Coturnix japonica: one gene and its partner. The protein of the gene in region 1 purifies or fractionates together with the protein of each later gene. This does not show direct contact. Links are inferred from orthologs where the notes say so. Each region holds a gene or a part of one and is shown on either strand. Other genes may lie near its edges.

The links.
Region 2: the proteins of GTPBP4 (region 1) and NSA2 purify together in Homo sapiens (affinity purification with mass spectrometry; 3 studies listed by BioGRID and IntAct, counting the BioPlex papers as one, with this or other methods). This does not show direct contact. The link is inferred for Coturnix japonica from reciprocal best matches to the Homo sapiens genes GTPBP4 and NSA2.

What each region holds. Positions count from the first base shown.
Region 1 is NC_029517.1:9,317,018-9,321,937, reverse strand, and holds the start of GTPBP4 (nucleolar GTP-binding protein 1), read right to left. Parts: upstream 3,000-4,920; 5' UTR 2,912-2,999; coding exon 2,864-2,911; intron 2,647-2,863; coding exon 2,476-2,646; intron 1,253-2,475; coding exon 1,149-1,252; intron 1,071-1,148; coding exon 934-1,070; intron 98-933; coding exon 1-97. UniProt on the Homo sapiens protein: Involved in the biogenesis of the 60S ribosomal subunit. Acts as a TP53 repressor, preventing TP53 stabilization and cell cycle arrest.
Region 2 is NC_029547.1:22,112,280-22,117,141, reverse strand, and holds the start of NSA2 (ribosome biogenesis protein NSA2 homolog), read left to right. Parts: upstream 1-1,641; 5' UTR 1,642-1,766; coding exon 1,767-1,769; intron 1,770-1,973; coding exon 1,974-2,161; intron 2,162-2,734; coding exon 2,735-2,885; intron 2,886-3,239; coding exon 3,240-3,419; intron 3,420-4,119; coding exon 4,120-4,312; intron 4,313-4,858; coding exon 4,859-4,862. Other genes in the region: GFM2 (ribosome-releasing factor 2, mitochondrial), read right to left, coding at 723-807, 1,124-1,198. UniProt on the Homo sapiens protein: Involved in the biogenesis of the 60S ribosomal subunit. May play a part in the quality control of pre-60S particles.

The DNA of each region.
Region 1 (4,920 bases):
TTTATAAAGCTTGACTTCCCAACATTTGGATAGCCACACAACAGAAGAGTTCTTGTATTGGGATCAATGGTTGGCAAACGAGACAAATGCTGTCGCACTGAAACATTTAAAAGATGAGTGAAGTATTTGTCTTAATTCACTTTTGAACGGAAGAAAAATTGATGTATACATTTAAATACAGGACCACTGCTTGGAAAGCATTTAGCAATAACTGATAATTATCTTATTAGAGGGCTGGAGTACCTCTCCTATGAAGAAAGGTTGAGGGAACTGGGCTGGTTTAGTTTGTAGAAGACTCTAGTAAGACTTCATTGTGGCCTGTCAGTACTTGAAGGGAGCATTGAAACAGGAGGGGGAAACGGCTGTCTACATGGATTTATAGTGATAAAACAAGGGGGAATGGTCTTAAACTGAGACTGGGGAGGTTTAGGTTGAATATTAGGAGGAATTTTTTCACACAGAGGGTGGTGACGCACTGGAACAGGTTTTGCCCAAGGAGGCTGTGGATGCCCCATCCCTGGAGGCATTCAAGGCCAGGCTGGATGTGGCTCTGGGCAGCCTGGTCTGGTGGTTGGGGACCCTGCACACAGCAGCAGGGTCAAAACCAGATGATCATTGTGGTCCTTTTTAACTCAGGCCATTCTATGATTCTATGATGAATTTTTCAGATATACGTATGTGAAAATAATGATAAACACAAGCATGGCTACAACCTTTAAGCAGGTACAGACATTCTGTACCATTTTAATTTAAATTAAGAGAACTATTTGGTTGAAAATTGAATTCTAACTGGGCATTTGAGAACTATTTCATTTTTATTACCTACATTTCTGTACTTAATGCATTTTTCTGTTTTAAACTGTTATTCTTTGTATGAATAACAGCGCATGCTGTGTTCATATTCCTGTATTTTAGCACATTTATTACACGAACCTTGCTCCAAATATTCCAAGCTTTGTTTCTGCCTTTTGATAATGGTGCACATCCGTCCCAGAGCCGCACGTTTCAGCTGTTTGCAGCGGTAAAGAGAATCCCCGTACTTCATCAGGCGCACGTAGTCCTTCGCAACACTGCAGGGACAGCAAAACAGGGAGTGATGCAGCAACCAACCCCACAGGAACAGAACTGAAGGAAGAAACTTTCCTTACTTGTCAATCAGATTCTTGGCAATATTAATCTGTCCCAAAGCCAACTTGTAGTGATCTTTGTCATACAGAACGTTCATCAGATCGGCATAAAAAGGATGAATATCCTAAAACCAAAAAAAAAAAAAGGACATAGCATTAACCTTATTTTCTTGAAGATGACAAACCAAACTGTTTTCATTACTATCTTGCCTAAGAAAAATAATCCCCTTGGTCATTACATGCATCATTGTTAATGCTTTGACTTTTTTGCAGTGATGACTTGAACTGGCTTAGACCAAGTTTCCATTTTGTCTTTTGCACTGCAAAATACTTTCAGTTCTCAAGTCTGAACTTTCCTCTAGTGAATAATGAAACCACGAGAAGCCTGCAGAAGCAATTTCTAATAGTAAATTCATCCTATAGCAGAAATACGGCGTTAACTCCTTCCTTTGTTTGAGTGCTAAATCACAGGCAAGACTGGATAATAAGGGTTTCTTCAATGTCCAGATAAACCTCTTGGCTTTCTGAGAAAGCAACACCTTCAGTTCTTCTAGACTAAGTATTTTTAGCTATTTATGCACTTATGTGGAGAAATTTCATCATGAGATATTGAAGTGCAGGCAATATTTGCAGGAATTCAGTGTACAGAAAAAGAGTAGGAAAAGTCAAGTGAAGGATTTAAACAGGTTTATGAAGCTGCCCATACAGAAGTCCCAGTGGGCACCTGCACACAGCTGTACTTCACAGAATCACAGAATTATCAAGGTTGGAAAAGACCTAGAGGATCATCTAGTCCAACCATTACCAATACTTCCCAGCTAAATCATATTCATCAACACAACATCCAAACATTTCTTGAACACTCCCATGGTCAGTGACTCCACCACCTCCCTGGGCAGTGCATTCCAATGCCTGACCACCCTTTCTGAGAAGTAATATTTCCTAATGTTCAGCCTGAATCTCCCCTGGCACAGCTTAAAACCATTCCCTCTAGTTCTATCACCGATTACATCTATCATCGATTACCTGGGAAGTTATGACCACGCACACCATGTCAGAGTGCACTTGTAAAACCAGCTCTGATAGGGCTGAGAGCAATGTTCACTCTGCCAACTGAAGTGACACTGCTGAAGAACTGAAGGTGCCCAGGGAGGTTGTGGATGCCCCGTCCTTGGAGGTGTTCAAGACCAGGTTGGACGGGGCCCTGGGCAACCTGATCTAGTAAAGGTGTATGTTTGGTGGCCCTGCCAGGCAGGGGGGTTGGAACTACATGATCCTTGAGGTCCCTTCCAACCCGGGTCATTCTGTGATTCTGTGATTCTGTGTGAAGGTGGGAGGTTGCACTTACATCCAGCTTGGGGAAGTCCGACAGGATCTGTGTCAGCCGGTCATGGTAGTTCTGCTGGGTGTATTTCACCTTCCTCATGTAGAAGTGCCGGATGCGATGGATCTGGTAATGCTTGTGAATGACGGTCGGGGTCTTGCGCTGAGTCTTCGACAACGTCAAATCGATGAAGTCCTACAAAACAAAGCAGCGCTGTCAGCTCCCAGCCGTCTCCATTGAACACAGCGATAAACACCCCCTCCCTTCAGGCGGAGGCCGGGCATTGACCCACACCCCGCCGGCACGGAGCGAAGTTCCCCCGCCAACACAGCACGGAGCCCGCTGGGAACCTGAGGGAGGGAAGGGGAAGGACAGAGCTCTCCTGCCAGCCCAGCACCGCGTATAAACGTACCTTGGCGGACGGCACCACCGTGATCTTCTTGAAGTTGTAGAGCGCCATGCCGCCCTCAGCGCCACGCCACAGGAAACAGGAAGAGAGGCCGGGAGAGAGACGGAGCCTCGAGTCTCGTCTCGCGAGGGCTCGTCTGACTCCGCCTGCGTCAAGTTGTGTGATTTAAAAGCTCATTTCCTTTGGTGTTAAGGGTCAGAGCGCAGTGCTGTGGATGCCACATCCCTGGAGGCGCTCAAGGCCAGGCTGGGTGGGGTCCTGTGCAGCCGGAGCTGGTGTCTGATGGAGTAGTTGGCAGCCCTGCCCTCTGCAGAAGTTTAGAACAGGATCTTTGAGGTGCCTTGTAACCCAAGGCAATCTGTTACTGTACAAAAATGGAGGAATCAAGGTGGGCTGGGAGGAACTGGTGTGTGAAAATAAAGAGATGAAACAGGCCCATAGCGTGTCAGCAGCCTGGGCAGTGTGTGTATCTGACCACAGCTTCTCTTCATGAGCCAAAAGCTGTTTAGACCTGGAAAAGCCAGGCCCAGAAACTAGGTGGTCTGAGTGTCCAAAACCAGCTTGTACATCTTCTGCTGGCAGGCTTTCATGATGAAAAACTGAAAATTCTCTTCAAAAGTGTGGGCTTCCCCCCCCCTATAAAGTGTGACATTTTCCCCTTGAGAGAATTTAGACACGTATTATTCTGTCACTGCACATTTTTTCTACAGTATTATAAGTTCAAATGCATAAGTTCTGCATTTCCTTTATTGCACTGCTTTACTAATTTTTCTGACAGCACTTCAAACAGCCGTCCAGTGCAGTGGAAACTTTAAGGTGCATGAAAATGAAGATTCTCTCTAATCAGACAAGCCAGTAGTTAATCCTTTCCAGAAATTAATTTTAATAATGACTACATGAACACCATTCAATCATAAGCATGCAGTTAGAACCATCCCATTTGCTGTAGCCTGTCAACAACACTATATCTGCCTCATTATGATGAGCGTGCTGCTTCATAAATGTTTTTATACTAATATTTCCACCTGCTTTTTCGAAGCATTCTTGAAGAAGTGAGACGTGACTTCATCTTTTAATTATATTGTACTTTGCCTCCAAAAGTTTCATAGGGCAGAAGGAGCTCTTCTCTAGGCATGTCCACAGGTATCCCAAGTTTTTGGTACTTACAGAGCGGCTGATGACACCCAGCAAGACCCAGATTGTGTGCTGTGCTGATTGTCCAGAGAAGCACTTGGGAGAACAGGCCATGGGAGTGGACATCACAAGGGGTTCAAGGAAGCACTCTAGCAGAACATTGTCACTGTGCCTGGCTGTGACTCTAGCTTAATATTCATAGTTTCTCAAAAATGTTACCTCAGAATTCCAAAAGTAGCCTTAGATTTGGGGTATTTGGTCTGCATTTGATGCACACTAAGATGCACATGTGTGTGTTTGGTGGATATACTTAGCAAATTGGTGTGCTTCAATTAGATGGCCCCAATCATCATTGCTTTCTTGTCCCACAACATGAAAAGACCAGTTCACAGAGTAACAGAATCAAAAGGTAGCTGTGGTAGGAAGGGACCTCTGGGTCCATCTCACCCAACCCCTGTTCCAGCAGGGCTGCACAGCGCAGGGTGCCCAGCACCACATCCACACAGCTTCTGAAGATCTACAAGGATCAGTGCTCACAACCTCTCTGGGCAAGCTGGTCCAGTGCTCCATGACCTGCATGGCACAGAAATGCTGCCTGGTGTTCAGTGCAAACCTCCTGTGTTTGAGTTTGTGCCCATTGCCTCTTGCCCTGGCAACAGACTGTACTGAAAAGAGCCTGGATTGATCCTCTTGGCATCCTTTCAGGTATTTGTACCCACTGATAAGATCCCGTTCACATGGTTCTCATTCATTCTTTAAGAAAGTACATTGATTGTATAGAATCTCATCCAAATGAATTAGTTTTGATCATTAAAGCAAATTTCTATTATAAAGTCCTCTTCAGCATCAGTCCTTCTGTGTATATGTGTCCAAATTTTAAAGTTTTAAATGTAGTTTATCAGGCACACACTGCACACAGTGAACAG
Region 2 (4,862 bases), on another chromosome or scaffold:
CCCAGCTCCTTCAGCCTCTCCTCATAGGCATATTCTCCAAGCCCTTCTCTGGACCTGCTCCAGCACTTCCATGTCCTTTCTGTACTGAGGTGCCCAAAACTGAACACAGTAGTCGAGGTGAGGCCTCACCATGCCGAGTAAGGGGCAGGATGACTTCCTAGTGCTGCTCACCACACCATTCCTGACACACACCAGGATGCCATTGGCCTTCTTGGTCTCCTGGCACACTGCTGGCTCATATTCAGCCGACTGCCCATCAGTACACCAAGGTCACTTTCCATCAGGCAGATTTCCAGACACTTTTCCTCAAGCCTGTAGGGTTTCATGGGTTTTTCATGACCAAAATGCAGGACCTGACACTTGGCCCTATTGAAATTCATACAGTTTACCTTAGCCCATCAATGCAGTCCATCCAGGTCCCTCATACTTCATGCATTTATTGGACAGGGATTACTGCAGCTTCCGTAGCTAATCTGGCTTTTTATCCACCTGTGTTTTTCCTTTTTCTTATTTCCTAAATCCTTATACCACAAAACTACTGAGAAAACAGCAGCAATACAAAACCACTCTTCCCAGTCCTTGTACCTTTTAACCACTCTGTGCTTCAAATGCCAAATATTACCAACAAAACTTTGCAAGTGTTCTTACTCACTTCTCAGTAACTCCTAGTAATAAGTCATAAATTAAATTTAGAAGCATAAAAATGTAATTTACAAGCATACCTGGTGGAGAGCTGTAGTTTCTTACACTGCTGTTTTGCTGCTTCATACTTAGGACTGTGACTTTTGGCTTCCTGAAACACACATGCTGCCAATGGAAGGAAAAAGAGAAAACACACGTAATTGTCATCATAATGAATTCATAACATGATAATTGATTTGTAGGCATAATTTTTCCAGTTGTAGAATTATAAACAAGATCTGAATCAACTGATGCTTATTAGGTATTTACATAAAGTGAAACTGTCACCTGTGTGGAAGCAGAAGCGCTTAAGGCCAGAGCTTAAATAAGAGCCCAGCCTCAACAACATTCAGGAAGCCCAATAAACATGGTTTCCTTGTTGTAACGTGGGTGATCTCCTCAAATTCACGCTGAAAGCATTAACATCTGTGAAGGCATTTACCTGGCTGCACAAACGTGACCACTTCAGTGACAATTTCGGTGCATTCCCTGAGAACTTCCTCATGATTCTCCACATTCTGAGGCTGCACCACAGTCCCGCTGCCTTCTAAAAGCCGTGTCTCCTGTTTCCACACGACTACATCAACACCTTGGCAACTCAGGTTGCTGTTTCTCTGGCCTGGCTGCAGCAGCAGGGCCTCACAACCCACTCACACACGGTTTCTGACCCGGGAAACACCCCCTTGTACTCTGGAAGGCGGTGAAAATTGAGCTTTTTAATTAACAAAATGCTACATCGTTAAAGTGACCGCAGCGCAGCGCTCATGAGCAGGCCGCGATCCGCCCCGGAAAGTGCGCGCCTCATTGTGCTCCCCCACAGCCAACCCATCTTCCTCGGTCCCACCGCTAACCAACACACACAGGCTTTAACTAACAGCCACGACGGCTTTTTCCGCACATTTCGCCCCTTTTCTGCCACGCCGAGCCGGGCCGCAGCCCTAGGGACCAGCAGGGTGCCGTCCGTCCCCAAGGCGGAACCAAAGAGCCGTGGGGATCGTTTCCACCTGGGGGCGGCCGGAGGAAGTAACAGGCCTTTTGGTTGAGCACGGGAGAGCGGCGAGGAGGGAGGACGACGTGTGGCCGCCATGGTGAGAGCGGGGCTGGGAACGCGGAGGGACGGATGGGGACCGGGACCGGGACCGGGACCGGGACCGGGACCGGGGCCGGGGCTGGGGCTGGGGCTGGGGCTGGGGCTGGGACCAGAGGTGGCCCCGCTGCCCCGCGCTGTTGTGGTGCTCCCCGGCCTCGTCCCGTTGTCGTGAGGCTCTAAACACTTTACCCTGTGCCCATAGCCGCAGAACGAGTACATCGAGTTACACCGCAAGCGGTACGGATATCGGCTGGATTACCATGAAAAGAAGAGGAAGAAAGAAGGGCGAGAGCCTCACGAGCGCTCCAGGAAGGCCAAGAAGATGATAGGGCTGAAGGCTAAGCTGTACCACAAACAGCGGCACGCCGAGAAGATCCAGATGAAGAAGACGTGAGTCACGTTGTCCTAGCGTCGTGTTGGTGCCCTGTGTCTGCAGGATCGAGACAGCCTTGTACTTCTTATATGTTGCTTAATTGTGGGAGAGAGTGCTTAAGACACTTCTGATAGCCTCTTTTCTCTGTGCCTCTTTCTTCTTTTTTTTTCCCCTTACCATTGCAATGAATGACTCTGTTCCTAAAAGCATTCCTTAGCATATGCGTTAATTAGCAGTAGTGATTGCAATTATGTAATCGTAGCAGAATACAAAAGTGGTATATTGGCTTTCAGTCTGATGACAGCATGACTACAGGACATGCTTGCCCATGTCTGTTAGGCACTTTGCTTTAAGACAGTTCCTTGGTAAGAGTCTTATACCGTGGTCTGAACAAACTGAGCAGGCTCTAGTCTGTCAGCTGTTGTGTTAAGAGAAATTACTGCCTTCCTATGAAAAGTATGTAGGCACTGTTCCTCAAATGTAAATGCTGTGTTAACCTTAGGGAATATTTTGAATAGGCACAACCTAAGCTATTGCATCTCAAAATTTGCTTCTTTTCTGATTTTAATACTGTTTGTTTCTCCTTGCAGAATTAAAATGCACGAAAAGAGAAATACAAAGGAAAAGAATGAGGATAAGACTCCTAAAGGAGCTGTACCAGCGTACCTGCTGGACAGAGAGGGCCAGTCCCGGGCTAAGGTTCTCTCTAACATGATCAAACAGAAGCGAAAAGAAAAAGCTGTAAGTAGCTGGATTAATTTCAGATACTTAGTATTTCTCGTGGTAATCACTACCACTCCATACTACCATAATCACTGTGTTACTGATGCTTAAGTGTCTTGCAGCTTGCAGGTGAGGTCTAAGCATTGATGTGCAAAAGCTAAAACTTTGAATAGGTTAGTCGCGTTGAGCAAAGTAAGCATGTGCAAAGAGTTGATTTCCATAAACCTGATTGCTAATTAAAGTAAGTAGCTATTAGTTGCGTAAAATACGTGGTTTACAGCAACTCTGATTAGTTAAATTGTATTTTATACTCTGATTGTCCGGTCTCATAGAGAAATGGCACATACCTAATGACAGTTGTGTTTCCTGTAGGGCAAATGGGAGGTTCCTGTGCCAAAGGTCCGTGCACAGGGAGAGACTGAAGTTTTAAAAGTGATTCGTACTGGAAAGAGAAAGAAGAAGGCCTGGAAGAGAATGGTTACAAAAGTTTGTTTTGTTGGAGATGGCTTTACCAGGAAACCTCCGAAGTATGAGCGATTCATTCGACCAATGGTAATGTTATTGAAACTTTCAAATATTTAGGTACTAATTATTTTAACTTAAATGTTTTGAGTTTGGCAAGGACTCACAGAATGGCTCTGGATGGAAGGGACCCATCTAGACCATCCTAGTAAGCTAGGTAAAGTAGAATGAAGTTTTATGTAGGAACTTCCTTCTGTGCTAATGCACTTGATTACTACTGAGTAAGAATGTTTGTATTACTTTCCTTTATGAAACCTGAACTTAGACTAGCTGGAGGTAGCCCTGCAGTCTGCATTGGAATATTTACATCCTGACTCACATAACTGAGATGACATCAATAAGTTAAAGCCATGAGCTCTCAAATTAGCATGGAAGATCTTCAGCAGAAGCACTTCAGAAGCTTCTGTCTTTTTCAAGCTGCTATGATTGTGTCAGCTGCAGGGGCAGCTCTGTTGTCAGGCTCATGTACTCCCTCCTGTCTGTTAAAAAAGCTGCATTCTGAAGCTACCCATTTAAAAAAAGAAAAAAAAAAAAAGCACCTAACCTTGTCATTAATCAGGTTCTTAACAAACATTCTATAGTAAGCAAGCAATTTTCTATGTTCTGGCTTGTTTCATTTTTCCCAGTCTCGTAAAATGTATAAATCTGAGGACGTAATGCTAGAAATGTTAAATTAGCTCTGAGGACTTGAAGTATATATATTAATGTTTTCTAACACCTTGTGCTACAGGGCTTACGTTTCAAGAAGGCACATGTGACACATCCTGAACTTAAAGCTACTTTTTGCCTGCCTATCCTTGGTGTAAAAAAGAATCCTTCTTCTCCTTTGTATACAAGTCTGGGTGTAATTACCAAAGGTACCGTCATTGAAGTGAACGTGAGTGAACTTGGTCTTGTGACGCAAGGGGGCAAAGTTATTTGGGGTAAGTACTTAATCTAGTAGCACTGCAGAACAAGTTTTAAGTCTTTATTGCCTGAGTGTATTGTGAAGTCCGTGTCTTGTCATAATTAATCCCTGTTGAGTTTTGGTTGTAGCAGAAGCAACTGCAGGACAGCTTTAAGAAGTTTTAATCTTAGGCTTTCAGTTCACACTTTGAACATCAAATTAGGTGGAACCCAGAAAAAGGAATGTGAATTATGAATGATTATGCCATGTTTTCAATGAAATTCATGTGTACAAATACCTTCATTGAATCAGACTAACTTCTTTTACCAGTGAGGCTGACTTGGACTGTGACAGAACCTATGATGTTTATGAATTCCTTGAGGTTCTGGGTATGTTACAAAGACAGCCTGATCACGATATTTTGAGAACTGGTTTGCAGCTCATCAGAAAGTGCATTTAGATTCACAGTGCATTCAATTTTGAAGCAGGAATTTCTTCCACTTCCAAGGGGCTTGTGGATTAAGTTTTCAAAATGGAAGAATCGTAATTTACTGTATGACTTTTAATTTCCTTTTCTCTTTAGGAAA